5 linked regions of the Kluyveromyces lactis genome follow. The protein of the gene in region 5 interacts with the protein of the main gene of each other region in a pairwise test. Links are inferred from orthologs where the notes say so. Each region holds a gene or a part of one and is shown on either strand. Other genes may lie near its edges.

Evidence for each region.
Region 1: the proteins of NNF2 (region 5) and ETP1 interact in a two-hybrid assay, tested with the Saccharomyces cerevisiae proteins (2 studies listed by BioGRID). The link is inferred for Kluyveromyces lactis from reciprocal best matches to the Saccharomyces cerevisiae genes NNF2 and ETP1.
Region 2: the proteins of NNF2 (region 5) and GIM3 interact in a two-hybrid assay, tested with the Saccharomyces cerevisiae proteins (2 studies listed by BioGRID). The link is inferred for Kluyveromyces lactis from reciprocal best matches to the Saccharomyces cerevisiae genes NNF2 and GIM3.
Region 3: the proteins of NNF2 (region 5) and SMC1 interact in binary tests that used the Saccharomyces cerevisiae proteins (3 or more experiments, as listed by UniProt). The link is inferred for Kluyveromyces lactis from reciprocal best matches to the Saccharomyces cerevisiae genes NNF2 and SMC1.
Region 4: the proteins of NNF2 (region 5) and NUM1 interact in a two-hybrid assay, tested with the Saccharomyces cerevisiae proteins (2 studies listed by BioGRID). The link is inferred for Kluyveromyces lactis from reciprocal best matches to the Saccharomyces cerevisiae genes NNF2 and NUM1.

The regions. Positions count from the first base shown.
Region 1 is NC_006042.1:2,387,000-2,392,843, reverse strand, and holds ETP1 (Etp1p), read left to right. Parts: upstream 1-2,064; coding exon 2,065-3,618; downstream 3,619-5,844. Other genes in the region: TTI1 (Tti1p), read right to left, coding at 1-1,729; ribose phosphate diphosphokinase subunit PRS3, read left to right, coding at 4,061-5,023; KLLA0_F25696g (haloacid dehalogenase superfamily protein), read right to left, coding at 5,290-5,844.
Region 2 is NC_006040.1:947,951-952,812, reverse strand, and holds GIM3 (tubulin-binding prefolding complex subunit GIM3), read right to left. Parts: upstream 2,624-4,862; coding exon 2,234-2,623; downstream 1-2,233. Other genes in the region: LPD1 (dihydrolipoyl dehydrogenase), read right to left, coding at 1-764; KLLA0_D11143g (uncharacterized protein), read left to right, coding at 1,716-1,761, 1,850-2,094; ARO9 (aromatic-amino-acid:2-oxoglutarate transaminase), read right to left, coding at 2,973-4,565. UniProt on the Saccharomyces cerevisiae protein: Binds specifically to cytosolic chaperonin (c-CPN) and transfers target proteins to it. Binds to nascent polypeptide chain and promotes folding in an environment in which there are many competing pathways for nonnative proteins.
Region 3 is NC_006040.1:642,433-649,062, forward strand, and holds SMC1 (cohesin subunit SMC1), read right to left. Parts: upstream 4,051-6,630; coding exon 319-4,050; downstream 1-318. Other genes in the region: oxysterol-binding protein related protein HES1, read left to right, coding at 1-93; KLLA0_D07524g (uncharacterized protein), read right to left, coding at 4,586-4,993; SCF ubiquitin ligase complex subunit CDC4, read right to left, coding at 5,552-6,630. UniProt on the Saccharomyces cerevisiae protein: Involved in chromosome cohesion during cell cycle and in DNA repair. Central component of cohesin complex. The cohesin complex is required for the cohesion of sister chromatids after DNA replication.
Region 4 is NC_006040.1:1,397,033-1,403,875, reverse strand, and holds the start of NUM1 (Num1p), read right to left. Parts: upstream 3,964-6,843; coding exon 1-3,963. Other genes in the region: SLX4 (Slx4p), read right to left, coding at 4,420-6,498. UniProt on the Saccharomyces cerevisiae protein: Controls nuclear migration. NUM1 specifically controls the interaction of the bud neck cytoskeleton with the pre-divisional G2 nucleus. Functions in dynein-anchoring.
Region 5 is NC_006040.1:1,239,859-1,246,542, reverse strand, and holds NNF2 (Nnf2p), read right to left. Parts: upstream 4,061-6,684; coding exon 1,418-4,060; downstream 1-1,417. Other genes in the region: CTT1 (catalase T), read right to left, coding at 4,644-6,296.

The sequences.
Region 1 (5,844 bases), on a different chromosome or scaffold from region 5:
TTAGAATAATCATTTGTTTCATAGCAAACAAATTCATAGTCAAATTGGTGCGCTGCAACTCGTTTAGTTCCGTTTGATTCGATAAAATTGATACCCGCTCATTTGCCATTTCTATAATGTCATATTGGCAGGAGATTGGGTCTGAATCATGCGCAAGAAAATCACTTATGTCAGTGTTTTTATACCCTGTTAATAAAGTTGAAGCTATCCAAAGAGCTTCGTTTGAGTTTTTTAAGACATCTGATTCTATTGAAAGAAACTCAATGATTTGTTCTTGTATTGAAGAGGCGCTCATCTTGGATCCTAGTTGCAGTAAAATATTTGTAACATTTTCGTACGCTGTAGATGATATTTTCGGAATTATGGAAACTTCAGAATTATTAAGAGATCCCGATGTTACCAAGTAGTTTACCTCTGAACTGGTAACCTTAATTAAATTAATGTTCTCTGTTTTGTCTAAACTCAACAAATGGGTTTTCAAAGAGTCATATATTCCATAAGCAACAGTTTTTGATATTTGATATTCCTCAAGCTGATCTGTATCCAAAATTCTTAATGCATTATTCACAATATTATATTGGTTGATTTCTTCGAAGTTTGTTTCGACCTGAATATTGTTATCTCTCATGAATGCTGCAATATCGTTCTTGAATCTTTCTAATGCAAAGACGTTATCCCTTGCTACTGTAAGAGCCGTCTTTAGTATAACTTCTCTGCACCCATAAAGTGAATTATGGCATTTATTAAGTAGTAGAACACAAGCTTCAAATAGTTCACCATTCAGTTTTTCATTATTCCTTTTAGTGAGCTTTGAAAAGGTGGGTTCAAGTGCGCGTTTCAATTGAATTGATGTGGCATTTAACCATTTGGTAGTTCTGTGCTTTCCTGGATTTTTTACTTCAACAGCAGTATTTCCTGTAGACGTTTTGATGAAAGTTTCCAAAGAAGAGTCACCATATACCATACACAATAGTTCTGACATAGTCGATAATACATCACTTGCCACTTTCACATGAGTAGTCAACCCTGGACGAGAGAGAATCTTAGCAAATGTAGAGACATTTCCGGGAACCACATTACTTAACATTTCTCCGTCATTTATTACTCTGTACAGTAATCTTAGTGTTTTTGAGCTCTCTAACTGGATTGACATATTGCTATTTTCTAATAATGTTAACAAAATGGTGATTGAGTGTGCAATTGCTGGGAGCATATTTGCATCCCATTCCTTGAAAGCTGCTGTGGAATACAAAACTCTTAAAAGTCTGATGGAAGCAATCTTGAATTCGTCTGGTTTATTGGGAAGGTTGACATTTTCTAGATCGGTAGATATTAGAAAGGTTGATAGGGAAAGAAGCTGCGAGAATGTGTTCCGATCCACTGTCGCCGGTAAACTCCACGAAACGTCTATTATTCTCGCCAAAATTTCGAATACTAATGTTGCAATTGGGTCCGGAAGTGATTTACACGTTTTCAACATTGCAGAGATAGGCACAAACACATAGTCTCCAAACCTCCCTGAAAGCGATTTGTGCTTAGTTATAAGGATATCTAAGTTTTGAATCAAATCTTGTAGTAACTGTTTTAACTGCGGATCCTGTAATATGAGTAGCTCATCTTTCCTGAAGGTAACTTGGGAGAGTCTCACACAGATTGGTTTTATCTTTCCAAAGGCTTCATCTTTAGTTCCTGCATGTTCTGACCGAACATGCTGACCTTGTGTAAACATAGTAGTATCTCAAGCGGCTTCTGATGATATATTTTTATGCTATGTCAAAAAGCTGTGACGGTAACTCGTTATGTTTAACATATATTTCGAGAATAAGGCAGATCATCGCGTAAAAGATGCATTTCATTGAGAAGGCTTAAGTATATCATTAAAATCACGTGATCGTTTTTTTTTCCATTCTTCCTTTGGCAGGTTCTCATCCCGATTGTTGATATTCCTAGGGATGAGATGACTACTGGCAACAGCTAATATGACGCCAAGAGGCGAACCTTCGTACAACCAGAAAACTTTACATTTTGCCTACTAGTTACCTGTCGGGTCTAAGAATAATCCATATGGAATATACATTACTTATCGAGGTAACAGAAAGTCTAGACGATTGTTATAAGTTTTTTAAGTCTGGCAAATTGACTTTTGAGCGGAAGACTGATTCTCGTATTGAACAGAGTTGGAACCATATTCCAATGCTAAGTTTACATTCTTGTAGTAACAAAGTTTCCATCGAATCCGAATGGTGTGGCCATGGTATTATACGGCTTTTCAAGAATGGCCACGCATCAGTTGGTACCTTTGATGATAAAGAACTCTACCGGGAATTAGGTGATGGAAGGATGCTAGCCATACTATTTATTCCAAACTACTTGACCATAAACAGACTATTGGGATGGTTTATTGGAGAAGAAACAACCAATCAAGTGACGCATTTACAATTAATAAAAATGAACAAGGAAAAAGGACGGTTTATGCTTTTGATGAAATTTAAGGAACAAAGCTTGGCGAAAGAGTTTCAGAAGCTCTTCGATGGGAAGAAGTTCAATGAAATTGATCCAGAAACATGTCATGTGGTAGCAATTAAGGAGCTTATATTTCATCAAGGAATGTTTAGTGAAGATAAAGATGCTCTCCCCTACATGTTAAAATATCCGTTTACTCAGAGTAGTTCAGAACAATCTGATGGTTTAATAGAACTACCTATGTGTCCTGTTTGCCTAGAAAAATTAGACAGCGAAGTTACTGGATTAGTCACAACCCCTTGTCAACATACGTTCCATTGTAAGTGCCTAGATCAATGGAAAAACGGTAATTGCCCTGTCTGCAGATACTCACAGTTAAAAGATGTTAATAATGAACCACTGCCGCGTTGTCTAGAATGCGGTGAAACGAACAATCTTTGGATCTGTCTAATTTGTGGACATCTTGGATGTGGTCGTTATAATTCTCAACATGCAATATGCCATTACGAACAATCGAACCATTGTTTTGCAATGGATTTGACAACAAAACGGGTATGGGATTATGCGGGGGATAATTACGTCCATCGGATTGTTCAAAATGAGATCGACGGAAAGTTGGTGGAGGTGGGTGAATCTCATGACGGGAGTAATACGAAAAGGAATAAAGAGTATCATTTGGAATACGTTCAAGTACTTTTGTCTCAGTTAGAATCTCAGCGTGAGTATTACGAGGGACAAATTTACAATATGCATGAAAGAGTGAAATCGCTCGAGTCTGATATGCAAGTCAGTAGACAAAAAGATGATCACAAACAGTTAAAGAAACTCGTTGAAGAAAGTATGCAAGAAATGAAAAATCGGCTTAAGGAAGAAATGCTGCTCAACTCCGGACTTCAACAAAACTTAGATCATTTAACTAAACAGATGGAAAAATTTAGCCTAGAGAAACAGAAACTACAGGATGAAAATCAAGAATTGCAGTCACAAATTCAAGACTTGATGTTCCATTTTGAATCCCAGGAAAAGTTTGCAGAGGATTCAGAGCTTCAAAATGCAACGTTAGTGCTTCAACCTCCTCCAGGTTCCGAAGCATCTTCCAGTGCTAAGAACAAGAAGAAAAAGAAGAAGAAGATTCCGAAAATACCCAAAATATGATAAGCAAATTACTACAATTAGGCCTTGTATGTGCAGCTTTCTAGATAGAATATTTAAAGTTCAATAATTGATTCTTGCATGTCAAAATCTCGACTTCCTACGCCATTTATACCGGCAATATTTCCACAATGAAACTGAGTCTTCCTTAGCCAACCAAAGAGTCTTTCTCTTCCAATCATGAAAAAGAAAGGAAAATTTTTTCCTCATCTAAAAGAAGTTCCGGATGCCAAAGAAAGGTTTTTTGATGAAAAGACTTAAGATGAAGATGTTTGAAGTTGGGAGGAAATAGGCAGGTTTGGTTTTGGCTTGAACTAGGTAATCTGCTTCGTTTGTGCTCCTGATTCGATTCACATACCCCCTCGTACTTCAGTTTTGTGAAGAAAAATAAGCAAACTGTTATAACAAACACATCATTTAAACACTTTTCAATACTGATAAGAAAATGGCAACCAATTCTATCAAGCTTTTGGCTCCCGATGTGCATCGTAACCTAGCCGAGTTAGTTGCTAAGAGGTTAGGTTTGAAGCTTACAAATTGTAAGTTGAAGAGGGATCCCAGCGGCGAAGTATCTTTTTCCATTGGTGAATCTGTTAGAGACCAAGATATCTTCATTGTTACACAGATCGGATCTGGTGATGTGAATGATCGTGTCCTTGAGCTATTAATAATGATTAATGCATCAAAGACCGCGTCTGCTAGAAGAATTACAGCTATTATTCCAAATTTCCCATACGCTAGACAGGATAGAAAGGATAAGTCTCGTGCTCCAATTACTGCTAAGTTGATGGCTGACATGCTGACCACTGCTGGTTGTGACCATGTCATCACCATGGACTTGCACGCTTCTCAAATACAAGGGTTCTTTGATGTTCCAGTAGATAACTTATATGCTGAGCCTTCAGTTGTAAGATATATTAAGGAAAATGTTAACTTCAAAGAAGCTATCATTATCTCCCCGGATGCTGGTGGTGCCAAACGTGCCGCTGGTTTGGCCGACCGTTTGGATTTGAACTTTGCCTTGATTCATAAGGAAAGAGCTCGCGCTAATGAAGTTTCAAGAATGGTCCTTGTTGGTGACGTCTCAGACAAGATTTGTATCATTGTTGATGATATGGCTGATACATGTGGTACTTTGGCTAAGGCTGCAGAAGTTCTGTTGGAAAACAAAGCCAAGTCCGTCATTGCTATCGTTACCCACGGCATTCTATCTGGCAAAGCTATTGAAAACATTAACCACTCAAAACTTGATAGAGTAGTTTGCACAAATACTGTTCCTTTCGAAGAAAAGATGCTACGTTGTCCAAAATTGGATGCAATTGATATCTCTTCAGTGCTTGCAGAAGCTATTCGTCGTTTGCACAACGGTGAAAGTATTTCATATTTGTTCAAGAACTACCCTCTCTGATGATTCACTGTTAAATTAACTCATCCAACTGGCTGTCCTGTTTGCCGATTGACTCACGTTCACTGAACGTTTACTCTTTTCATTCCTCCACTATAAGCAATAACAAGGCGTCGATGTAACATATATCCCATGACGGTAAGTCAACTAAGTTCGTAGTAACTTATAAGAAGACATTATTTAATCTCTCTATTCAAAAAAGTACTTCGAGTATTAACTATGCCTTTGTCTGAAATCCAGTTAAGACATATGTACTCTCTTTTACTTAACTATAATCCAAACTTGGAACGGTCAAAGTGTTCTAAAGATTCTAGCATTTCACCTCTATCGCCTAATATTTTGTGGTCTTTGACTAGCGCAATCGCATCTTTATGAGGGACCCAGATGACGTATGCGCCAAAACTCTTTCCAGCATTGACCCCAGGAATACCATCTTCAAAGACTAGACATTCGTTACTCTCAATATCTGTGTTGAATTTAGCATTTAATTCCTTCAACCCCAGTTGCCAGATATCTGGAAAAGGTTTACCTCTGCCTTTTGGAATTCTGGGATCGTCACCAGTAATTATAACGTCGAATGCTTTGAAAGCTTCAGTAAGGTGGGAAGTTTTATGATGGAACTTTTCTACAGTGGAAGAGGTGCAGAGCGCAATTGGAACGTTCCTTTCCTTTAAGTAAGCAATAAGCTCTAATGTTCCAGGGAGAAATTTGCTCGTTGGCCACAGGATTGCCTGATGTTTCCTATTCAACGTATCAAATTCTTCGAATGACAAAGGTAAATCATAATATTCAATAACCTTACGGCCAGCTTCTGGACCAGGCAA
Region 2 (4,862 bases), about 290 kb from region 5:
CCTTGTTTCTTCAAAATCTTTTGAGTAGTTTGAGCGACTTCACCATCCATGGTAGCACCAATTTGAGGTTGGAATTCGATCACAGTGACCTTAGAACCCAATCTGGAGTAAACTGAACCCATTTCTAAACCGATGATACCACCACCGATGATAGCCAATTTCTTTGGGATTTCTTTCAAGGAAAGAGCACCAGTAGAAGAAACGATTCTTTCCTCATCAATGGTGATACCTGGGAATGGAGTCACTTCAGAACCAGTGGCAACAATAATCCTGTCACTTTCCAAGAGGTGATCTTCAGTAACGGAACCTTCCAGACCTTCCACAGGAAGAACCTTAACGGATTTGTCAGTTTCAAAGGCACCTAAACCTTTGTAGTAAGTGACACCATTCTTCTTGAACAACATTTCAATACCACCAGTCAATTGCTTGACGACAGTGTCCTTAGCCTTTTGAAATTGAGCAACGTTAATGTTGATTTCACCGTTGATATCAATACCTCTTTGCTTAGCATCCGTCTTCATTTGATGGTATAGGTGAGAATTGTTCAACAAAGCCTTGGATGGGATACAACCAACGTTTAAACAAGTACCACCTAGTCTACCTCTTTTCTCAACACAAGCAACATCGTAACCGAGTTGAGCAGCCTTGATAGCAGCAACGTAACCACCTGGACCACCACCAATAACGACCAAGTCGTGCTTCTTAGTAACGGTTTTCAAAAGAGCAGAAGAGCTAAAGGAACGGGTAGAATTGAATCTCAACATCTTTGATTAGGGCGGATATAAATAAACAAGATAAATAAGATAATCCTCTAACCTCTTACTTATACGTTATCTGAACCCTTTCTCTGTGGTTTCACTTGATATATTTCTTGAAATATAAAATATCCTAGTGAATTCCTTTTATATTAATGTCAATTGGAATGGAAAAAAAAGATTACGATCCCAAATAAATACAACTATTAGACGGTTTGATCAATTAAATAGCAAGAAAATTGATCTACAGGACTCAAATACCAGCATGATGCGGTAGGGTTTGGTGATTCACTACGGTACGGACCATATATAAACTACAATTATATAATTGAACGGATTGTAATTCGAAAAAATACTGTAGTATTCCAGAGAAGACCACTTATTTAACTGATCTATATTTCATCGTTCCTTTGCGCAACTTTTAAGTTGAAGAACCAGTTTTTTTTTTATCAATCTATTGAGCTTTCCAAACTGCCAGAGTCATTACTATTAATTATCGAAATGGGATAACACAGTGAACAGAAGTATCTTTGTGAAAAGCTGTTTCGCTGGTGTGATCTATAAAGGCGACGGCTCATCACAAAAAAGTTGCAACTGTCTTGACGTGGGGAACAGGGAAACCTTCGGAATCGACAAAAATTGAAACTATTGAATGAAATCAGTTGAAAAATAACGAAACGAACCTAAAAAAACGGAAGCCGTACGGGGGCCGACACGAAAGGCGCAGGGCGGGCTATCAAGAACGTGATTAACACGTGATTCAAACCGGGTAACGTTTATTAATTTATGATCACGTTGTTTTTTTTTGATTACCAGTTTTTCCTTCTGCCAAATACTCACTATGAGATATGATATCCATATAAAAGAATAATGAATCATGATATATGAAGGATAAGGGAGATTGTTAGCAAGAACAAAGAATAGAGTAGCAACAGTAATAACAAAGCATTAGCCGCAGATATGAGATTTGCACCTATTTTTATTGGAACGGCGTTGGCCAGTTCGTGTATGTTTAAGGACGGATTTTCTTAACCCTTTTTTTTCCCTTTAATTCTCAACTTTACTAACATCATCATCGTCATCGTCAAATACAGTATCTTCACTTATGGTTATATATCCTGACAGCTTCCAATACTACAATGATTTAGTGAATGTGGCACATGAACTTGATGGGACTATAACGCATGAATATACATTATTCAATGGGTTTAGTTTGGATTTGCCAGAAGAGTTTGTCGCTAAATTCAAGGAAATGAACCAACATTTTAATTGGGGGCTTGAAATAGAAGAAGACCAGGAGGTTCATGCGTTAGGTGGGCTGAAAGAACATGCTGTTTGATTGCATTATGGACTGAATCAACGTTGTGTCGGTCTTTACTATTATTTTCTATGTAGATTTTATACGCAAACATATATTACTCGGTTTAAGGATATTTTTTCAATTCTATCAAGCACTTCAGCAATGTATATTTATGGGCTCAACGTTCCAAATTGATGTTGTCACCGAATTTGGCATACAATATACTCTTTAGCTCTTTTATTCTTGAGTCCAATTCCGCCTCATCGCTCTCTAGCTTTTCTATATTGCTGTCGATGTTTTCAGCATCGGATTCTAACTTTTCAACTACTTCTTTCTGTTTTAGAAATACGAAGACGTCTCCGATCTTATATTGTACCTTCTCATCCTCGTCTATCAATTCAATTTCCAACGATACGTCGTCGAGGTACTCTTTCTCTGTTCTTTGTTGCGTCAAATCTTGTTCGATAGCATCTTTTCTCATGATCAACTTGGAGAACTCATTGATACGTTGTTGATCTTCGTATGCAACGGTGACCGTGTTCTTTTGACCCTCCGGTAGTAATTCCATTTCTAGTTAGTGTGTTGCGTGTAAGATGTGGTAGATGTCTCTGTGTCTACTCATGTCATGTACTGTTTTCATCTGTACTTTTAGCCATTCTTGTTATTTTTTATTCAACTTTTACATACTCTAAAGATTTATCTTGCAAATTACACTACTGACATGCAAAATTATGTCATGCAATTTTACAATTTCATGCTCAAAAGAAAGCAGTTGGGACATATTTCACGGCCCTATCAGGTTTATTGTTTCACGTTGTAATTATGCATTCATATATAAGTATCTAACTTTTGTTTTTATGGTGCAACGTGAGGTTGAAAATTAGCAATTACCAGAAAGAGCTGTAAAACAGACCCCTTCAGTTGTGATACTCTTTGAAGAATCTCTCAACACCTTTACCTAGCCTTTCAGCAGCTGTTTGTAAATGCTCTTCATCTGGAGCCATAGCAAATGTAATTCTTAAAAAGTTGGACCTGTCATATGAAAATTTCTTGTCAACTGCCATTCTGTAACCCAAGATTACAATGCAACCTTCTTCCAACAACTTGTAGTTTAAGAAATTCATGGCCTTTAATTTATCCGAGATTTCTCCGAACTTATCAAAATTGATCTTGATACTAATGAACATACCGGCAGAGGGTTCAATCAATTCAAATAATTCTTCTTTATAAGCTGGTGTAGCTTCCAATGCTTGGAAAAGCACATTTCTTCTATGTGTATACTCACCAGCAACTTTCATGACCCATGATAGCCAAGCTCTGACCTTGTCTCCATTGAAATTTTCTGCCCATTTGTCTATTATATTAATGGTCATAGCTTGGGCAAGACCACATGGCGATCTAACAGAAATGTCTGCATATTTCAATAACTTGTCTAGGATAAATTTATTGGCGACAATGAAGGAAAGACGCATCCCAGGGGCGAAGACTTTGGAGAAAGTTTCTAATCTAATGACTCTCCCTGATGTGTCTATGGTCAAATATGAGGGGGCTAATATTTCTTTACAATATTTATCGAAAGTGATAGTGCCATCGTTATATTGATTCTTTAATGGATCAGACTTGTCAAAGGGTAAAAACTTTAGGTAACCATACGGATCATCTTCCACAATTATAATGTCATGTTTTTCGCATAGATCGTATATTTTCTGTCTCTTCTCTTTGCATTGTGTCATACCGGTTGGATTTTGCCCTGTGACGATTGTGTATAACAGTCTAGGCTTAGATAAGTGAGAATATTCACCTGTTGACCAATTCTCAAGCAATTGGTCCATATACTCGACGTTAATACCCTGCTGAGAAGCATCATCCGTGATATCAACTTTCAATGGAATCGGAATCCCACCATTTGCAGTGACGTTGGAGATAGTCGGAGTGAAAGTAAATTCTTCCATTAACACGGTAACGTCTTCATCTGTTAAAGTGGTGAAAACTTTAGATAAAGAATCAGAAGATCCATTTGCTAACATAACATCCCAATTGTCGTAAGCTGGCTTGTTTAAGTAACTAACCAACTTCTTTGAGAAATCAATCAATTGCGGGAACCCTTTCGTGTCAGAATATTGTAGTGCCTGGGCAATTGGAATGTTATCACCATGAGATGGATCGTACCTCCAAATATCAACCATACTACCATCATCGACCCTAGATTTCACGTATTCAGCTTCATTGACACCGATTTCACCAGCAGCACCGACATGGATCTTTTCACTTTTGAATGGGTACTCCAAATGCTGGAACGGACGTTCAACCACATTGACATGCACAGATTCCACAGGGAACAAACCCTCGTTTGGCATACCAGCTGCCAAAACATATGGGTTTGGATGCGGTTTCACATCCTTGGGCAAATAATCATCCCAGAATTGCAGAATAACTCTTCTGTCAACGTGACGATTCAAGAACTTCGAATAATGCTCTTCTAACGTCTTATCATCAATGGTTACCGTCATAACTCGTACTATATATTGCAGCTATATGGTGCTTGTACCACCAGCGTTAATCCCTTCAAACAAATAACCACCTCATCAAACAAAACCTAGATTTGACACATTGTTATATACTTTATATTTATACATGTCAAAAAAAGCTTAAAGTTAAAAGGCCGACCTTTTTTTTGTTTTTTCGTTTCCTATCTGGCTGGCAGCATTTTGAAACGAAAGGCGATAACAGTATTTAAACCTAACATGCGAAGTTTCCACCGCGCTAAAAAGTGCGGATATAAGGTAGTTTGTGCTTCTAAGGGTATC
Region 3 (6,630 bases), about 600 kb from region 5:
ACACTGGTTTCGGAAGAAAAGAAGGATGCAAATATGTTGCATTGGAGATTCGATCACGAAAGCTGGGATAAGGAAACAGAAATTAAACTTTGAGAATAATTCACGATGATGATAAAGTGTGTATTTCATTGGTTGTAAATCTCTTTTGATTCATTATCAACTTCAGTTGGATTATACTACATAACTACGTAAGCGCTAAATGTTAAATAAATTATTAGTCTTTTAACATATGCAAAGAAGAGATCCTTGTTTAAAGTAGTACCATCTATTATGTATGTACTTATGATTTAGGTGTATTAAATTGCAAATAATGTTACATCAATCTTCATCATAATTCTCGAGATTCAAACTAACCATTCTAGAAGAGTTATCTTCTTGTTCCCGGAATATACCAACTAGTGATTGGGATTTTTCAAACATAGCATTCTTCAACGATATAACGATGAACTGGGCATTTGGATTAGCATTCCGCTTAATATAATGTGCTATTCTTTCAACATTAGTGATGTCTAAAGCGGCATCTACTTCGTCCAATACAAAGAAAGGACTGGGTTGATATGAATTGATGGTGAACAACAAAGCTAAGGCGGCCATGGTTTTTTCACCACCAGAAAGATATTCCATATCCTTAAACCTTTTCAACGGTGGGGTCGCAAAGTATTTAATTCCGCCTAAATATGGTTCGTCCTCATTTTCAACTGTTAAAGAAGCATTACCACCGGCTAGTTCGGACTTATCATGTGGATTCTTGGTCAAAGCCCTGTAGATCTGATCAATGTGTTTATCAACATGTTTGAAACACGCTTCAAATAACTCTTTACGTTTAGCTTTGACTTCAAGAAATTTCTCTTTCGCTTTTCTTTCTTTATTCCTCAGTCTCTCATTCTCATTCGATACTTGATCTAATTTGTGTTTTGTCTCATCGTATCTTTGAACAGCTTTAGAATTAGGTTGTAGAATTTCTAATTTTTCTTCCACCTTTTTAATCTCCGATTCAAACTCTTCTTTCACTTCTTCGCCATCATTTAGCCTGTACTTCTCCGGTAAAGAAGTAAAATCATACTCGAGATCAGAGATTATACCTGTATTGTTAGAATCCAAAACATCAATGGAAATATCTTCTAACGACGAATCCAGTAGCGGTAGCTCTATGTTAGAGACTTTACAATTCTTCAGTATACCTAATTGTTCAAGGTCGAGTGTTTCAATATCTTCTTTGATTTCATCCACTTTTCGTCTTGCGGCTTGCATGCTCGATTGAATTTCTGCAATATTACTATCAAATGAAATTAGATTGTGCACTTTTTCATCTAGCTCCTTTTGTTGAATGGCTACCAGTTGTTGTTCTTGTGAAATTTTTGAGTCTGCATTCTTGATCTTTTCCGTTATTATGTCCTCTTGTTTCTCTAATGAACCCAGAGCCTCTTTCAATTTATCCATGTCAGATAAGGCTTTTGTATGACGTGCCGCAGTAGCTCCCAAACGGTCCTTTTCGAATTCCAATTTGTTCTCAATGGTGAGAATCTGTTTCTGGAACTGTTGAAGCTCCTTGGAGTGCTTTCTCATAATTTCGCCAGTACCTTGTTCATAGTCTTTAATTGAGAAGCCATATTTATCGGTGAAAGGTCTAAAAATCTGTTCTTGTAAAACATCTTTCTCACTTTCCAACTTAGTTAATTTGCTCTTCAATTCTTCGATACGTTGAGTGAAGGATTTAAGCTGAGGTTCGTATTCTGTAGTAATCAAATCCTCGTTATGCTTGATTTCGACATTTTTTCCACTTAAAGTTCTTTCAAGTTGGGTGATCTGAGTTCTCAAACTCGAAATCTCATTATTTAACAAAGATATTTCATTCTCCAGCTCTCTGGATTTCATGTTATCAGCTCTGAATTTGTCTGATAGCGCTGTCAATTCTTCGGTAATTTGATCTTTCAATACCATCAGTCCTTGGTATTCATCTTTATTCCATCTATTCTGGTTTTTCTGTGCCGTACCACCAGTCATTTGTCCAGCTTTATGTATTAAAGCACCATTCAATGTCACTAGTTTGGCCTTGACATTTCTTGACCACTTTAATTCTTTAGCTAGGTCTAGGTTATCACAAATAATAGAATCTGAGCACACATATTGCATTGCCTTCTCAAGGTAGCCTTCGTATTCGATAGCATTAATAGTCAAAAGGCAGCCTTGTACGTTCGACACCGGCAATGATGGTGGATTGACGTCGATTGTATCAAGAGGTATGAAAGACGCTGAACCGGCTCTTTGCTTTTTAAGGTACGTGATACATTCGTGTGCGGTAGCAATACTGTCGACTATAATGGAATCAAAGTTTTTACCAAGTATCGTTGATACTGCAATCGCATACTTCTCTTTTTTCGGATGACATAGATCGTGTACTAATCCTTTCACACCGGGATATAATCTCTTAAGCATAGAAACATTCTCTCTTAGTTTTCTTTCCTTCTTGGTCTCTCTTTGATCAGCGTTAAGATCGTCAATTTTCAGAAGTACGTCTCTCAAGCTAAAATTCAGTTCATATTCCTTATTCTTTAGGGACTCAAGATTAGTTTGAATACCTTTCCATTCTTTAGACTTAGCAGCTGCTATCGAGTTTTTATCATTCAACCTTTGTGTTACCTCGTTGAGATCTGCTTCTAAAGCATCGACATCGACCTGTAATTCGTCACTTATGCGTTCCCTGGTTGTTTTCAGTCTTTTGTTAATAAGTTCACTCTCTTCGTTTAGTTCAAACTCGTCGTTTTTTAAGATAGCCAACTTTTCCTCGATATGAGAGCCTCCAGAACTTAAATACTTCTCTTTCAATAGCTCATATTGTTTTAAATCTTCTTCAGATAAATTGAATTTATTGAGATTGGCATGAATATTTTCTAACTCTTTCTCAAACGACTTTTTTGTTTTAGAAACTACCTTCAGTTGATTTTCGAATTGTTTGACATAAGCTTGTTGCCTTTCCATATCTTTCTTGAATGAGGATATTCTTTTTTCCAAGTTATGTATTCTCTTGATGGTAGCTAACCTCTCGCTTCCAACAGGTAGTAAAGATGACTGTAACGATGTTTTTTCATTTTCTAACTGTACGAGCGTATCTTTCAACTTACTCAATTGCAGTTCATGTTTAGCCGTTGTGGATTTGATTTTGGTCAGTATTCTTTCTTCGTCTGAAAGCTTGTTCTTCAACGCAGTCGTTTCAGTTTTTGAAACTGTTAGAGAATCTACCAGTTTCTTCCTTCTTTTAAGGATATGGAATAGTTCCCATAAAATAAAGTTATGTTTCAACTGATCTCTAATTTCTAAACTCGTTCTATATTGCTCATCCCGTTGGACACCTTCTTTAAAACTTTTCAAATCGTTTTGCACTTTTTTCCTTGAATTATGAGCGTCTGTGAATTCAGCTAAAGCCAGCTTATGCTCTTCTTTCAATTTCTCATAATCATTCTTATAGTTTATAGATCCAGAAACCTGCTCCAATAATAGCGTCAATGATTCTGGTCCCTGAGAAGCGATTCTTTCGACATCACCTTGGAAAACCAAAAAGTTTTTCGCCTTGACCAAGATGTTTTCGGATTCTAATTCCTCGTTATATTTTTTATAGCTCACAGCTCTATCGTTGATTTTGTAAACGCTATCACCAGATGTATTGATGGTTCTTGTGAATTTTGTTGGTTCATCAAGATCATCTTTTTGATACACGCAACTGACATATGCACTTCTTGGTTCTTCCTCCGAATATGTGGCATTCTCTGGACCAGCTTCCGAATCAGCGTCGGATCGGTGCATTCTCTTAGCATTGCCGTTATCTGGATCGCCATTTTCAATTCTGCCCCTGTATATCAAATCTACAAGCGCCGATGACCTTAACTGATTACTTCTCACACCTAACACAAAGGAAATGGCATCCATCAGATTCGATTTACCAGAACCATTGGGCCCAATGATGCTGGTGAAGTAAGACTCACCAAAACCAACTTGCACCGTATCCTTATACGACTTGAAATTATGCAGCTCTAACCCGATAAGTCTACCCATCTTGGAACACGAATATCTCTACAAATCAGCGAAATAAAACAAAAAATGATCACAAGTTTATTAGGATAACTTGTACTGCAACTTCAATTATAAGCGGCTTGTTGCAGCTGATGTAGATGGTAAGCTGACCGAATAAGCTACCCATCCTTCAACTAACACGAAAAATCTTAATGTAAATAGATATAAACGCCTTTCTTATTTTCATTTTCTAAATATTGCATTGACGCGTTCGAACATATCCGGGTAACTTGGTGTTTCATTATGTAACTTAATTGGGAAGTTTCCGTTATAATCCGTCCATCCATAAAGAGGACGGAGGTGCTAGTTGCACCAAGGATGTACAGAAGACAAGATCGGTATGAAGCTGACACCCTGATATACAGTTCACACGTTCTGTGGTTTTTGAAATTCAATTCGTATTATATCGGTTTTTTTTTCTGGGGTTTTGCTTTAATTAACTGCATATGATGATATACTTATATGTATATTTATATGAGGATGTCTGAGATGGATGGAAAAGTCAGTATTTGGTTCTTTACACGCCTGTTTTCATCTGAACAGGCTCCAGTTGTGGGATGCTAGCGTAGGCATTGGACGTGTCTCTGTTGTTCATCAATCTGAAGAAGTACAGGTTGAATTTGTTAATATAGAAGATGGAGACCACGCTTAACAATATGTAAGTCATTTTCAAAATGGCTTTTGGTACATAACCCCAGTTTATGGTACGATACTGGATCACGATGTTGACTCCTAGTAGGAAAATGACACCGCAGCTCAACACAAGTACAAAAGCACTTACAATCAGACCTACTGATAGTTCTTGTGTTCTTAAGGCTTCCACGGTTAAATTTTCTTCAGACTGAGACCCAACTTGTTTGTTCCTCTGGCTAATTCTCGATGAGGATGATGACGCCGATGATGATCCTTCTTGCTGCAATGACATTTCAGTGTGTTGGAGGGGTATTTTGGGAGTGCTTAAGTGGGTAAAGATTCAGTCCAATCCAAGACGCTATGCTTGAGTAGGCACTGGAATGTTGCAAGAATAGGTGGACAAAATCGAAAGAGGTACTTATATTGTGTAAATTTGACATTTTTTTCAATGTGCAACTTACTTTTTTCCTCATCGCAAAACACACCCGATTAATTCCTTGGCATAATTTTCCACACCTAGGGATGACCCTATCTTGATAAGAAGACATAGATAGGTAAATGTTGAGAACTGTATATGTCTGGTATAGTAGTCGACTGTATCCACCAGTACTGGGGTGGCTGAAAAGTTTGTAACACGTAGAAATAGTATTGAAACTCCTATATATGTCTTAGGGATAGGTGATGCCGTAGATAAATTAATCATACAACTTTTTTATGTCTGCTGGCATTGAAGAGAAGAGAAGAGAACAAAGATACAGAGGATTGGTATTACAGAGTTTATTTGATGGTAGAATATTTCCATACGGCGAGATACCAGATGTGGTAATGCAAGTTAAATTGATAGTTAATGTTAAAGAGTGGAAGACCAAAGTGACGTTCGATATATTTGATGGTCGACTCTTGTTCTAGTCCGGGTTCTGATAGTCTTGTCACCATTCCGAGCAGCAAAATCCAAGATTTCTACGTAACTGTGTCCCACTGACTCGATCGCAGCGACTAATTTTCTGTTATTTAATTTGATACCCCACACTTGTTCCGAATCTGTGAGTAGCTTCCTGTGTATCAGCTTACCGGTCCTTAAATTATATACATTGAATTGTCGTTCCGATCCACTAACCAAAATGTTATCGTTCATGGAGAATGAAGTGATAGCAGCCAGGTTTGTATGATGGAACGAAAACTTTCTTGAATAATCATTTGGATCCCAGCCGCGTATCGAACCGTCTGCAGCAGCGCTAACCAAAAATTTATTGGATAGGCAAAGTAGACCAACTAAAGCTGTATGTCCATAAAGGCATTTCATGCTTCCAACCACTTTGATCGATGCACCGTCATTGATTGTAGTAGTTGTCCCATTATTTTCAATGTTTTCGAGATCCCAGATCATCACTGTGGTATCCATACTTGCTGATATGCACCTGTTCCTCTTGTAGTCATAAATGGTCGAGTACACACGGTCGGTGTGACCGGTTAGAATATATAGTAATTTCATACTAATGATATCCCATACCATCAAATTGTGGTCATATGAACCACTTATGACAATTCTACCATGACCAGACACTGTCCTTACCGAAGACATGTGGCCTCTTAATACCCCAACAAAATATGGGTTTTCCTCTGGTGTCCTGTAGAAAATAGGTTCCTGCGATCCCTTGTCTAGCTCTTTCATGGGGGGAAGTTTCCACACATGCAAGGTATTGTCTCTAGACCCCGTTACAATGTATTTGCTGTCACCATATTCAACCACTTCTAAACATCTAACCGTCGATGTGTGTCCTTTGAAAACATGGGTACATTTACCAGTTTCGATGTTCCAGATTCTCACACTTCTATCTGTGGAACCACTAACTAAAATCTTACCGTCCACAAATTTCAGTGCCCACACACCGCCCTCATGTCCGTTTAATTCTAATAGGAACAGATCAT
Region 4 (6,843 bases), about 160 kb from region 5:
ATTGGACAAAGAATCATAATCAGCTTCCGGAACAACTACAAGTCCGAGACTTCTCGCACTTCTCTGTAAACCCTGCTCGTCAGTAACTGCTGACATTTGTAACTTATTATGTTCTTCAATCGGTAGTAAAACTTGTTTGTGTTGCTGCGCTTTTTCTTGCAAGAATTCTAAAGATGGACTAGTCAAGTTAAGTTGAAGTTCATTGAACTTTTTCGTGGGAACTACGCTATACCCATTGATGTCGCAAACCTCCTTTGATCTTTTGATTGAAGGGTTATTGATTGCGAGCTGTAGCTCTTCGTACTCGACAGTTGGTAGAACCTTGCATTCAATTCTAGCAGCCAGTTGTTCCACTTCTTTCACCGTAGGTTCGTTTGTTTTTCTTTGCAAATTGTCATATTTCTGTTGATCGATCAAACGTTTGCCAATATTGCTTGCCCTATTTGATAAGTGTGCAATAGAAGGATTTTCATATGAGGTCTTGAGCTCTTCAATAGATTCAATTGGTAACAGGGCGAGTCCAAGAGTTCCAGCCATGTTTTCTAAATATTCTCTAGATGGGTGCTCTAATTTCGATTTCAAGCCCTCCAGTTCATCGAATGGTAACATAGTTTGATGATGAAGTTTAGCCTTCTCCTTCAAAAACGTCAATGAGGGAGAGTCTTTCATAGCCATTAGATTTTCATATTCGTTCAGCTGTACGGGAACCATTTTATAGGTTGAGAGGTGTCTGGATAAATCTTTTAGTTGTGGATTGTTTGATTTGTTTATCAAATCTTCGTAAGACTTACTATCTAAGACCACATGACCATGTTCCTTGACTTTCTTAATCAATTCATCCTCTGAAAGTAGTGCAACTTTCGAGCTTTCCTGTAATTTCTGGTATGCTTCAGCAGCAACAGGCTTTAGATTGTATTTGTCACAGAGTTTAAAAGTTTCATCTTTAGTTACTTTATCTATAACGGGAGCCATTAATTTTGAGTATCCTTCTTTTGAAACTGCAACGTAACCCAATGTTTCCAATCTGTTAGTTAATTGGTCGATGTCAACATTGTCGATTGACTTTTGTTTAAAGGAATTGAAATCTGGCGCAGTGACTGGAACAAATCCAAAATTCTTAATAGATTCGAGTAACATTGTTTTATCACTGCCCTTATGAACTAACTTTTCATACTCTTTCTGTTCGATAGTAACCATACCGATATCCTTTGCCTTTTCAATGATGAAGTTTCTTGATGGTTCATTTACGGTCTTATTCAAATAATCGTAGTCACTCTGCGATACAATCAAGTGGCCAGTTACAGCTGCCAAGTGCTGCATTTCTTGGATGGTCGGGTCTGATGACTTTCTCAAAAGCTCTGAGTGGTCAGTCTTTAGGATTATATCATAGTTTTTCTCTGCTGCCTTTTCCGATAAAAAGTTCAAAGTTGGAGATTCTAGCTGTTCCTTCAACTTATGAAGGTCCTCCTGTTTGATAATAGTATAATTGAGAGCTAGTAGTTTATCTTTCAGGTGTTCAAAGGGAGGATTTTGAGCTAAGTTTCTTAGGTTCTCTATTTCAGCTTGACTGAGCAAGGTGTAATCTAAAGCTTTGGCAGCTTTCTTTAGATGATCCAGTGGAGGAGTATTAGCTAGTTCTGTTAATTTGTGATACTCAGTGGTGCGTATAGGTGTTATGGACTTTCTTTCCGCCAACCACAGCAATAAAGACTCCATATCGTCACTAGAAAGCGATGATTGAATAGCTTCAATTGAAGGATGAGTGTTTCCATGCATTAGTCTGGTGTGCTCCTCATTTGGAAGAAGAACATGATCTTTTGACTTAGCACATTCTTTCAACCTATTAATATCTGGACTTTCAGCTTTGCATTTCAGATCAATTAGATCCTTATCAGGTATTACCGAGAGTTTGTGATTTGCAGCAATTTTTTCCACTTTATCGATAGAAGGATTCAGTAGCTCATGGTAATCTTTGTTAGATATTAAAATATGGTCGTGAGTGGTAGCTAACTGTTGGACGTCTTCGATACTTGGTTCAGTGAGTTGGGACAATTTACTCTTCGTTAGTACAGTTAATCCTTTTGCATCTGCTTTGGCCTGCAAATATTCTTCAGACGGGCTTTCCAATTTAGCTTTTATATCAGTCAATTGTGACTGTTTCAATACCTGAAGTCCTCTGGACTGGGCATGGTTTGTTAATGCCTCAACATCCGGTTTCCTCAAATTTTCATACTCATCAATGTCGATAATGGTTTTTTGAAGCTTGTGAGCCTTACTCTCGAGATATGACAGGGACGGACTTTCGGAAGCATGAAGCAAATTCTCATAGTCCTTTTTACTTAACGCAGTGTAGTCTTTACTTTCTAATGATTTTTTCAAAGTTTCCATCGATGGATCATTCAATGATTGGTACTCTTCTTCTTTGATAGCAGTGAGGTTGAGCCTCTTCAGATTCGAAACTAGATAATCCTCAGTGGGATGCTTAAAAATCTCTTCTATATCCACTTTCTCATTATTTGTTAAACTAGAAGTATCAAAATACCCTAGCGTAGAAAGTCTGGAAAGAATATGCTTTGATAATGTGTCATCTGAGATTGTGCTAGGAGTTTTCGATTTTTTTAATTCATCTAGTTCAGTAATTGGGACAAGTGCGAAATTGTGCGTTTTTGCGTATCTTTCTATATCTTCATAGTCAAGTTCATTAATAAAGTCTTCATCATGTTCAAAGGGGCCCTCCGAAATGGGGTCTCTCACATAGTCCATAGTTTCCGAAACAAAACTTTCAGCGTCAATATCACTGATATCAGCATTACTTGACTTGCCAGGCGATGGTATTACATTCCAGTCACCTGATTCATTATCTGTAACTTCGTAATTGAAGCTGGAAGTATTGGACTTTTGAGGAGTAGAAGCAGATCCTATAAAAGATAAACCGCCTTTATTCTTACCTCTGGGAGACTTTGAAGGTAATGGAGAGTTCATGGTGCTGTCAGCCTTGACTCTGTTGAGCTTCTGCTTTAATCTTACAATTAACTGATTAGCATGATTTAAGTTGGCTTTTAAGGTCTGATTTTCTAGATTTGAATCAATCGGTTTCTTCAAGGAACTATCATCGGAACCCTCCATACCTCCTCCGATCAGTTTTACGGCAGGTGATGGTTTTTGTTCTGATGTAGCAATCGCAGTATCGTCTTTGCCCTGTGCAGAGGTGCCTTTCCTCTCTTCTATTTCTTTTGTTAATGAAGTGACCTTCTCACTCAACATGTTAACTTTATTATGCAGCTGATCATTCTCATTGTTCAACTCTTCCACATGTCTTTTCAGCTCCTTAATTTCATTCGAATGAACTTTTTTACTAGAAGCCAATTCGGACTTTAATCCCATACGTTCCAAAGAACTTTCCTCCAGTTCAGTTTTCATATCCTTAGAAAGCTCAATCTGCCTTTCAAGTTCACTTTTATTTTTATTGAAGTTTTCAGTCAACTCTTGGAACTCCTTAGATAAACTTTGCAATTTCATTTCTTGTCGCCAATTAGTGTCCTTTAAAGAATCCTCATTTTTGGTCATAGATTCATGCTTCACTGTTAACCGCTCAAGATTTATTTTCAACTTTTCATAGTCGGCCTGCAAAGAGGATAATTTGGCGGACTTACGTTCGTTCTGTGCTTGTAAGCGTCTGCATTCGACGAGTAAGTTCTCGCTTAAACCAACAACAAAGTTCACATCCTCGCCTGAATTGGCATTTATGACACCTGCATGAGCAGAGCTTCCTGCAAAAACAGGTAACGAAGCCCTATTATCTCTCTTACTCAAGACATTGGAAAATGGTAAACTGGGGTCCTCAGAATTAACATGAGAAAGAGCTTCTTGATGTTTTTGTTGTTCCTGCAACCTGTTCAATTTAAACTTCAATTCATCTCGGCTGGACCGTTTATCAGACTGCGAAGATCCCTTTCCTGACATATTTCCTGGGATTTTACTGTCGCTTCTGGGGCGCACTTCTCCAAATTGCCCGAAATCACTCAATTGTTGCCGTTCTGAATAAAAACCGAAGGACAGTGCTAAAGTTTAAGGACTTCAGTGCTATATGCTTCAAAGATTACTGAGCGTAGATTCCAATTTCCTTTTCGATTATGTTTTGTTTGTTTTGTTTATAGAATCGTTCGATCTGAAAGAAACTGACAATTTTTGATGAGCTGTTTTGACTGCATAACGTTACCCGGATTTCTCAATAAACAATGCAGCTATTGACTCGCCTTGTCTTGCTTTGATAGAGCCTTGCTCACATTCGGTATATGTTTTGAATAGGCAGTCAGACCAATGTATTCATTGAGAGTCTATTATGTTCCTTTGACGCCATGTATTTGGGCTTCTATTGAAAAAAAAATGCTGATAATTATACACATGGATGCTAACATACTATGGAGACAATGATGGCGACTGCAGTTGGGATAATGATTGTGAGAGCAACCGTGATTGAGATTGAGATTGGCTTTGTGACAACAAGGGGTTCTCAGTATCATTTCTGAATACAATCCCGTTTAAATCTGCCCAATTTTTGATAAAACTATCGTCGATTAGTTCAGTGAATGAGTTCAAGGATACTAGCCATTCTTTCAACTGTTCGTAACGAATAGGCTCAAAAGTGTATATTTGTTCCATTAATAATGCAGATTCATCACGATTTTGTACTATAAGGTCCGTGAGGAATTGCTTGAGTTGAATTGATCTATCCTCATCTGAGGACCCCGGGAATTTGGATTCCAATGTCTCCCATACTTGCAACATCTGAACTTTGTTCTTACAAGGTTTTAATCCGATCACCTTGAAAGACCTTCGTAGCTTCGCGGTGTTCGGAGATGCATTTTGTGTTGTGAGTAGGGCAGGCTGAAGTTGTGAATCTAGAGAATCTGTGGCTGAAACTGGGGTTTTCAATTTTTGAGATTGAGATTTCCGTAGAGAGGGGAACTGGCCAAGATGAGTTTGAGGAGCATCATGAACCTCCATAATGGAATAGCTACCTCTTTCATCTTCGCTATCTATAACAATTTCGTTATTATCATCATGCAACATAGAAGTAGTTAAAGTAGACAAACTTTCTTGCTCTTGCGTATCTACCTCCCCCTTAACACTGGCGAAAACGTCATTAGAGTCCCTATTGCTATCAACATATATCTTGACGACATTAGCAGGTTTTGAAGCTTGTTGCTGATTCTGTTGTTGTTGGTCTTGAAAGGTAGTAGTTCTCGTTGCGGGCACCTGAATAGTCCCGGTTCTTTGGGCCTTCATTGGAGATACGATGGAGGACACTACATCGTAAGACGTTTGTGATATGTTTATCAGTTGATCGTTTATGTTTGCCCTGGAATATTCCCTTTTCGTTTTCTCACCAGTGGGTAAAGTCTTGGAATCTGGTGGTAAATAGCATGGTATATCGTAATCGACGTCTGCCTTGTTCTTGTCTTGAATCATGAAACTCAGCTCTTCAAAGCTAATGATAGACCCGCTATCGCATGAATCGGCTATCTGAGACGGTACATCCGTCTCAGATGAAGGCACGTCTATGCTAATTGGTAGTTCCTGTTCGATGACAGAGCTTGGGTTCGAGATCGGTTTGAACCTCAATCCATCTTCCGTTGAGCACCGGTTATTACTGCTTTCTCCTTCGACAAGTTGAGACAACGTATACACAGGCGCATTGTTATCCAACGTTAAACTTGGAAGAATAGTCTCAGACTCTCCATCTGAGCACTGAGAAGATATCTGCTTTTCTGGGGATAACTGAGACGCTTTCCAAAGATTGTGCTGTTCATCAGCACCGTATACGTATTGCTGTACCGAGTTTAGCTCGCTTCTAGAAACTTTTGGTAATTTTTCTCGTAGGAGGCCAACGATATGTTGCCATTCTGATTCATTAAAGGGCGCAAATTGTGTCGGATGAGAATCCTGTAAACTTTCCGCATCTGCAGATGCCTCCGAGTCCAATTTCGACACCAATTTTTTAACCTTGGCAGATTTACCCGAAAGAATCGAAATCATCTTCTGAGCCCTATCCTTCACTCTATTTGATTCCCAATTATCTGTATTGAACTGGGTAATACTCTTGATTCTTTTCTGCAATCGTGCTGTCGGCTGCTTGACCTTTGAGGATTTTATCACTTTCTTGACTGGCACTTTTTTGGAAGACACCAGTGGAATATCCGCTTGATCTTGTGTTTCCAGCGCAAATCTTGACAGAACATTGCGGAAGGTGTGCACCACAGTCTCCTGGTGGTTCAGTTCATCTATGGCACCTTGGACTTGAGTAGAGATCAGAATATCATCATCACCTTCCTCCGGTGGAATCTCAGTCTCCTGCTCCTCATCTTGATCCTCATCATCGCTGAACATAGTAGGAACCTGAGTCATGCAAATATCACCCTGTTCCACTGAATCTTCAGACAAATGATCGTTCACCATCAGCAAATGCCTACCAGCTTTTTCCAACTCATCATGCATCAGGAAAGAGAGGTTTGCTATTGAATTCTCTGTCTATATCTTACAAGTATACCAGTCACCTGGTATATCAGCAGTCCTTTCCAATTGACGCACCGCAAGGCCACTCATAAACATACGTTGGTACAGTAACACACTAACACGTACTATATATATAGAGAGAGAGAGAAATAGAGAGAAATAGAGTTTGGGATACATAATGATAAATGCCAGCATGATTCCAAATCAAGAATAGTAAATACAATTATAGAGATGAACCTCAAATTGCATAGAAGCAGTGAGAAATCGAGAAAACGCGATATTTTTTCATGCATTGCACGAAATAAAACAGGGTTAGTCGGGGTAATA
Region 5 (6,684 bases):
TTATGGCATGGGATTTAATCCTGAAAGTGCAGTATACAATCTATTAAATGATTATGATAGGTTGAATAAAAATATAGACATATGGAAAGAAGCTGTCAGGCACCTGCAAAAAGATAAGACTTCACCAAACCTACAAACATTATGGTTAGAACGTACTAAGATGTATCACAAATTCCATGTACGTGAGAAATACCGTGATATAGATTCACTGTTACAGTGTTTAACTGAAATGACAGTGGAAGCTATTGCAGATAGATCATATATGGTAAACCAAGAACTGTCTAAAAACAATAAACTAGACATACCATCAGCACTGAGTTTGGTGAGTCTTGAATCTAGAAACTCTGTAAAGTCAAAACGTGCGAATCTAAGCGAAGAAGATAAGGGAAGAAAACCCAAGAAATTCCAGAACCAATTGGAACAAGGATTCCAATGGTACTAATAGGCACAAAAAGTCAGGTAAGAACTACAATAAAAATATGATGTAATCGAGAAGAAAGGTAAGACAAATTACATTAAGAAGAACACATCTTCAGACGATAATAATTCAGCCGGAGAGGATCCAGTTCTCCTTAGGCAACATTGACCATAAAAGCTTTTATCTCAAGGAAGACAAAAGCATCATGCTAGCTTCAGGAATACCAGTAGCGTTGGTTCCTAACAAAAATTTGCTGTATGATTTTAAAGATGAATCCAAAACTAAATTGCTTGCAGCAGGAATGAAAGAAATTTCTGTTGAGGGAGAAGGTATCCTAAACATTAAAATGAATGACAAAATCACAATAAAAATGCGAGCGGTGTTTGTTCCGTCAGTCAACATGGTTATGATTCCATTACAGTCCTTTTATAAGAATAACCTCTATGTTGCTAGAAACCATAAACATATCGTGAATTCCCTAGATGATGAAAAGTTAGCGTCTATCTACATAAAAGATAAGTTATGGCGGATCTCAAGTGATCACATTCAGTTACCGAACAAACATCATCATGTAAAGAAAGTCAAGACATCCAAGAAATAAAAGTGACATTAAGAGATTTACGCAGGTGTATTAGAGAAACCGTTAAGAAAGGCGAAATTGGGGACTTATCAATATCTGCTGATCATTGGAAGGGCATTGACAGTTTTCAATGTTAATCATGTGTGAAAGGTAGAACCTCAAGACATTAGTACCGGGTCTGTTGAGACAAATTAGAAAAATTAATCTAGTAACTACCAATGTGATAGGATTTACTTATCAAGATGATACATAGGGGATCTTAAAACGTGAAACATGAATGGATCACTTGTGTAGCTGGCTTTAACGATCATGAATGGACATACATACATTATTTCTGTTTGACGTTAATACGTATTTATATATACCTATGAACGCGTCTACATGAACTACAGAGATGGGGTGAGAGGATGACTCTCTACTCAGTATGGTGCAGTGTTCTGTAGAATTTGATGGAGTTGGCTCGCCTCGCCTTCTAGTCTGCTGATATCTTGCTCTAGACCTTTGATTCTCAATTCATATTCAGTTGCCTCTTGTGATCTTAACTGATTTCTTTCAACACGTTCCCTGTTCCTTTTCTCTAGGAATGTCGAGGTATATTTATCGAAATCATCGTTGATTTGGTTCACTTCTTTTTGCAACTTTGCATGTTTGTTCACACTTTTGCTTTTCTTAACTTGCAATTGTTGTAACTCTTGCTTCAATTTGCTCAATTGAGATTCGGCTTCCTTTAACTTCAACTTCCATTGATCCTCTGTCTTACTACATTCTAAAGTTCTTTGAAAATGGTTATCCTTCTCAACAAGGTACACTTCTTCTAGTTCTGTCTCTTTTTGAGTTAACTCTTTCAACTTCTCTTCCAATTGCGTAGTCTGAAATTCACCTTGTTTCAATGCCATCTTCAAATTCTCTACTTTTGATGCACTTTTCTCATCCTGGGTGACATTGAATTCGAGTTTCGTTTTGAATGTCTCGATATCCTGTTTCATCGTATTAACCTTCTTGGTAACTTCTTTCCTGGTCTTCTTCACTTTGGCCCTTTCATCTGCAAGGTTTGCATTGGTGGTTAAGATGGAATGTTTTAAAGTTAGGATAGGAGATAGGAACTTTCTATGGTAATATGAAGGGAAACTTAAGTCTAACGCCTCTTGGTCACCATTTTTACCAATGGTTCTGACCATTAAGTCTGCAATTAAATAGTCCTCCAGTTCGTTCAACCTGTTGACAAATTGGATGTCATAAGAGCATAATGGTACAAGGCCACTCACTATGGTGTACTCTTGTCCCGGTATACTAGGAACGATTGCAGATCCAACTTGAGACCAAATGACACCGTTAACGAGAATGATCAACTCACCTTCGAAAAGAGAATCTATCTTGAATGTAATGGAATTGGCTCCAATGAATGTAATACAAACTTTATAATCATGTCTGGTTTCGGTGGAAACAAGGTTTAATTTGTGATAGTCGTCCATCGCTGGTGCAATCAATGTCATCGAGTCCGAGATAGCTTTACTCGTGAACACACCTTTGCTTGGGTTTGAATTTACTGGGGACAAGTTTGATTTCACACTTTGAGCCACAGAATCACTTTCAGTAGGAGTAATCTTATCATCATCCACTGCAACAGTCGTAGTCAATGGTGTCACATTATCGTTGGAAGCCTGGATGTTATGCTTCTCTGAAATTAACGTTTGAGTGGCAGTGAAAATCGCCCATATTGGTGGGATGATGTGATGATTCTTCCAACGGAAAAGTTGTCTCACGAAATTTTGTAAATTAACCGTTGAAATGGTAGAAAGATTGGGACAATTCTCCTGAGATTCAAGGTTCAATTCCAATTTGTACACTTGGTTAGATAGATCATTCTGATGATCTAAGTTCGACTCTGTTGAAAATGCGGTTGTGATATTGGGGACCCAAGTTTGATTATTAGAAGCAGATGGAGAGGTAATACTGATATCATTCACCACAGAATCTTTAACTAAAGACGAATAAATTGGTGCAGGTTCCTGAGGATTCGAAGTATTGTTCAAGTTGGTACCTGGAAGGGAAAAAGAGGATGAAGCGCTGGAACTATGTGCCATATTTGATGATTGCGGAATAGGAGCCTCTTTAGTCTGTGTGGAAGAGGACAGCGGTGTTGTAGGAGATGCGTTGCTGGGTCCCTGATTTATTTGATCGTTACTGTTGGATTCGTTATTTTTACGTTCATAAGATTGTACTATTAAATTTTGTTCGATTTGAGCAACCACCACATGGAATGACGCCAAATACGATGCATATCGGATGTATCTGCTCGAAAATGTGAGAAATTCAAAGATGGATGGTAGCCTCCCAGTCAACGAGGGGTACTTGTCTATCAATAATGTCCAACGTGAGATGGTAGGTTTGGATGGGAATGCAAATACTGCTTTCTCATAGTCGAATAGGAATAACAACTTCTGTATCCATTGCGTCGAGAGAGCATATATGATGGAACTAGTTGTGGCAACACTTAGAGCATCCTTGGGATCATTGACCAAAGAAGAAGCTACTATAGACATAGCAAGATTCTCTATGGGTTCAGTGAAATATTTATCACCGTAATACTTCAGTATAAATGCCAAAATTGCCTCTTGAATCAAAAAGAATAGCAGTTTCTTCTTAGATTTTCTCAATCTTGGCTTCGTAGTTTCACCATTAACTCCCAGCACGTTATTTGTGGGGACTGCGTTAACTGTAGAATTGGTAGGACTAGCAGAAGCCTGCTGTTTGCTCGCCATCACCGATTTCTTTCTCGTCTTGGCCGACAATACATTATTGATGGGTGCCACTGCTACCGCCTGGATAGGTTTGATCTGATAATCATCATCATTGACAAATCCGTTGTAATGAGACTTGGGTAGAAAGAATCTGATAAAACACTCTGAAAGAAAGTTCCTCGATCTGGTAACTATGCTGAAGGAAACCAATAGGATCAATGATGCAAAATGATTGAAGCTCAAAAACACGATTAAAAGTGCAAGAGAGTCCTTGAAATGATGCCTTCTGATGAAAGAGAGACTCGGATCACTGCTGGACATGGCAGATCAAATGAACCAGAATCAAAATCTGTTTCTCTTCAATAACAGGAAAAACACAAAAATTCAACGTGGTAAAATACCCGTTTGGTGGCCTGGAAGAACACTTAGTTTTAAGAAATAGCTTCTTAAATTCAACAACTGGTCCCTATAAATGAATGAACGGTCCACGCAGCAACTATTGGTTTGTACTGCCCTTTCCAAAGTTGTCTTTTCCTCTTAATGATTTGCTTGGAACAAGCTAAGTTCAACATTTTCCAATTTTTCACTTTAGTATGCGATGCGATATTAAAGGAACCAACGAAAAAGCTTAAATTATGCAGAAGCGCAGGTACAAAAGATGCTGACACATCTGTGTAAACATTTGAAGCGATGGCTAAGTGACATTAATTATAGTCAGTACGTTTCATATCATAAGAGTGTACGATGTACATTAATTTTTCCTTACATAAATGAGAAATATATCCTTTTCTAAATAGAGTTAATAAATATTATGTCTTCAATCGTTAAGAAAACTCGCAGAGCATCTCATCAAATTATGGAAACAGTTGTTGACATACACTTTGAACAATTTCCTAATATCGTCTTAGAAAGCACTGGCGATACTGATTCTCCGGGCATATGTTTCGAAAGAAACTGGCTCCCATTGGATTTCAAGGCCTTCAGCGATCTGTTTACCCAAATCTTCATTCAAAAGACCGAAGTATTGAGACACACGAGTCTTAATTTCCGGATTGGAGATCTTAGAAGCATGTGCAACAACGTTTTTGACGAATGTCTTCTTATCCTTGTCGTTGTACACCTTTTCGTATAGAGCTCTTGGTTGTTCCAAATCGACTGGAGATGCACCATTGACAATATAATATTCGTTGATCTTACCGTTAACAACACGTTCATGTTCTACACGGTTTTCTTCTTGTCTCTTTATTTCAGCGACAACATCCTCTTCTAATACAACACCAGTAAATCTTTCGTGCGTTGACTTGGCATTGTTGTCATCCAATGTGTTGAACTGAACAAGGTTTTTACCGGAAGAAGCGATATAGTTTGGTTGGTCCTTGAAGTTGAACATACACATTGGCCCATCTCTTTGGAAATTCGCACCTGCAAATGGACAAGCTTCTCTACCCATATTCACGGGTCTATTGACTGGTAACTGCATAAAGTTGGTACCAAGTCTGTGACGTTGAGTGTCTGGGTACGAGAATAATCTGGATTGCAAGACAGAATCGTTGGATGGCTCGATACCTGGAATACAGGTGTTTGATGGAGAGAAAGCAAGTTGCTCGATTTCTTCGAAATAGTTATCGACGTTATGGGTTAGGGTAATGGTACCGAACTTGCGCAATGGGAATTCCTTATGTGGCCAAATCTTGGTCAAATCGTTAATGGAATACCTGAAATTTTCTGCTTGCTCAGGGGTCATCGTCTGAACATAGCAATTAAATTTTGGACGTTCACCGGCTTCTAGCTTTTCGAACAACAATTGGTTATTATAATCAGGATTTTCACCAGCTAACTTATTGGCTTCTTCCAATGAAAGAGTCTTGAATCCATTCTCTGGTAACACATGAATTTGCACGTAAGTCAACTTACCTTCAGCATTGATAAACTTATAAGTGTGACCGGAATATGCACTCATGTCAGACCAAGAAGCTGGAGTGCCTCTATCACCGAACATATACGTGATTTGATGGATGGACTCGATATTTTGAGTCAAATAATCCCAATACATGGAAGTATCAGAAGCCTGTCCCAAATGATTCCTTGGGGATCTCTTTTGAGTGTGAATAAAATGAGGGAACTTGTTTGCATCTCTGATGAAGAACACCGGTGTATTGTTGAACACCCAGTCATGGTTCCCCCATTTCGTGTAAAACTTGAAACTGAAACCTCTTGGATCTCTGGCTGTATCTGGAGCCCCTGATTCACCGCCAACGGTACTGCATCTTATGATACCAGGACACTTGTAACCGGGAGATTGGTATGGTGCTGCATATGTGATGTCAGATAACGAATCAGTGAGTTCAAATTCGATATGACATCCGCCACCTTTGGCATGGACAACTCTTTCGGGAATTCTTTCCCTATCGAATCTAGCTAGAGATTCTATCAAATGGTTATCCTGTAGTAAAAGTGGACCATCTGGACGCGAGTATTGTGCACCGTATGGATGATGAGAGTATTTAAACCCATTTGAAGTGGAGTAAACTGGAGGTGAAGAGTATTCAGAAGGCATTGTAGGCAGACTGTCTTGACTTAGATGTTTGATCTATTCTGTGAGCGATCAACAATTGACATGATACGGTAACGACAACGAATTAGGTAACACTCACTCATCATTCCAATCCATTGAGCCAGTTTATATACTTTTCCAGCACTGTATAGAGCAGCTAGACCTTCAGCTAATCATTAATAAGTGACTGCTCTGCAAGCGTGCAGCTATTACTGCGAAACACCAAACCATACGACAAATCCAACCATTACTTACGTCTTCTGTACCCACCGTAATACCCTTAAAGCAACATTGAGGGTATCTCGTGTTTATCTCTCCCTCTTTCTCTCGATAATCCGGTAACTCCATCAGGAAGTAATCCAGGAAGTAGTAGTCTCCTCTCTCCTCTGTT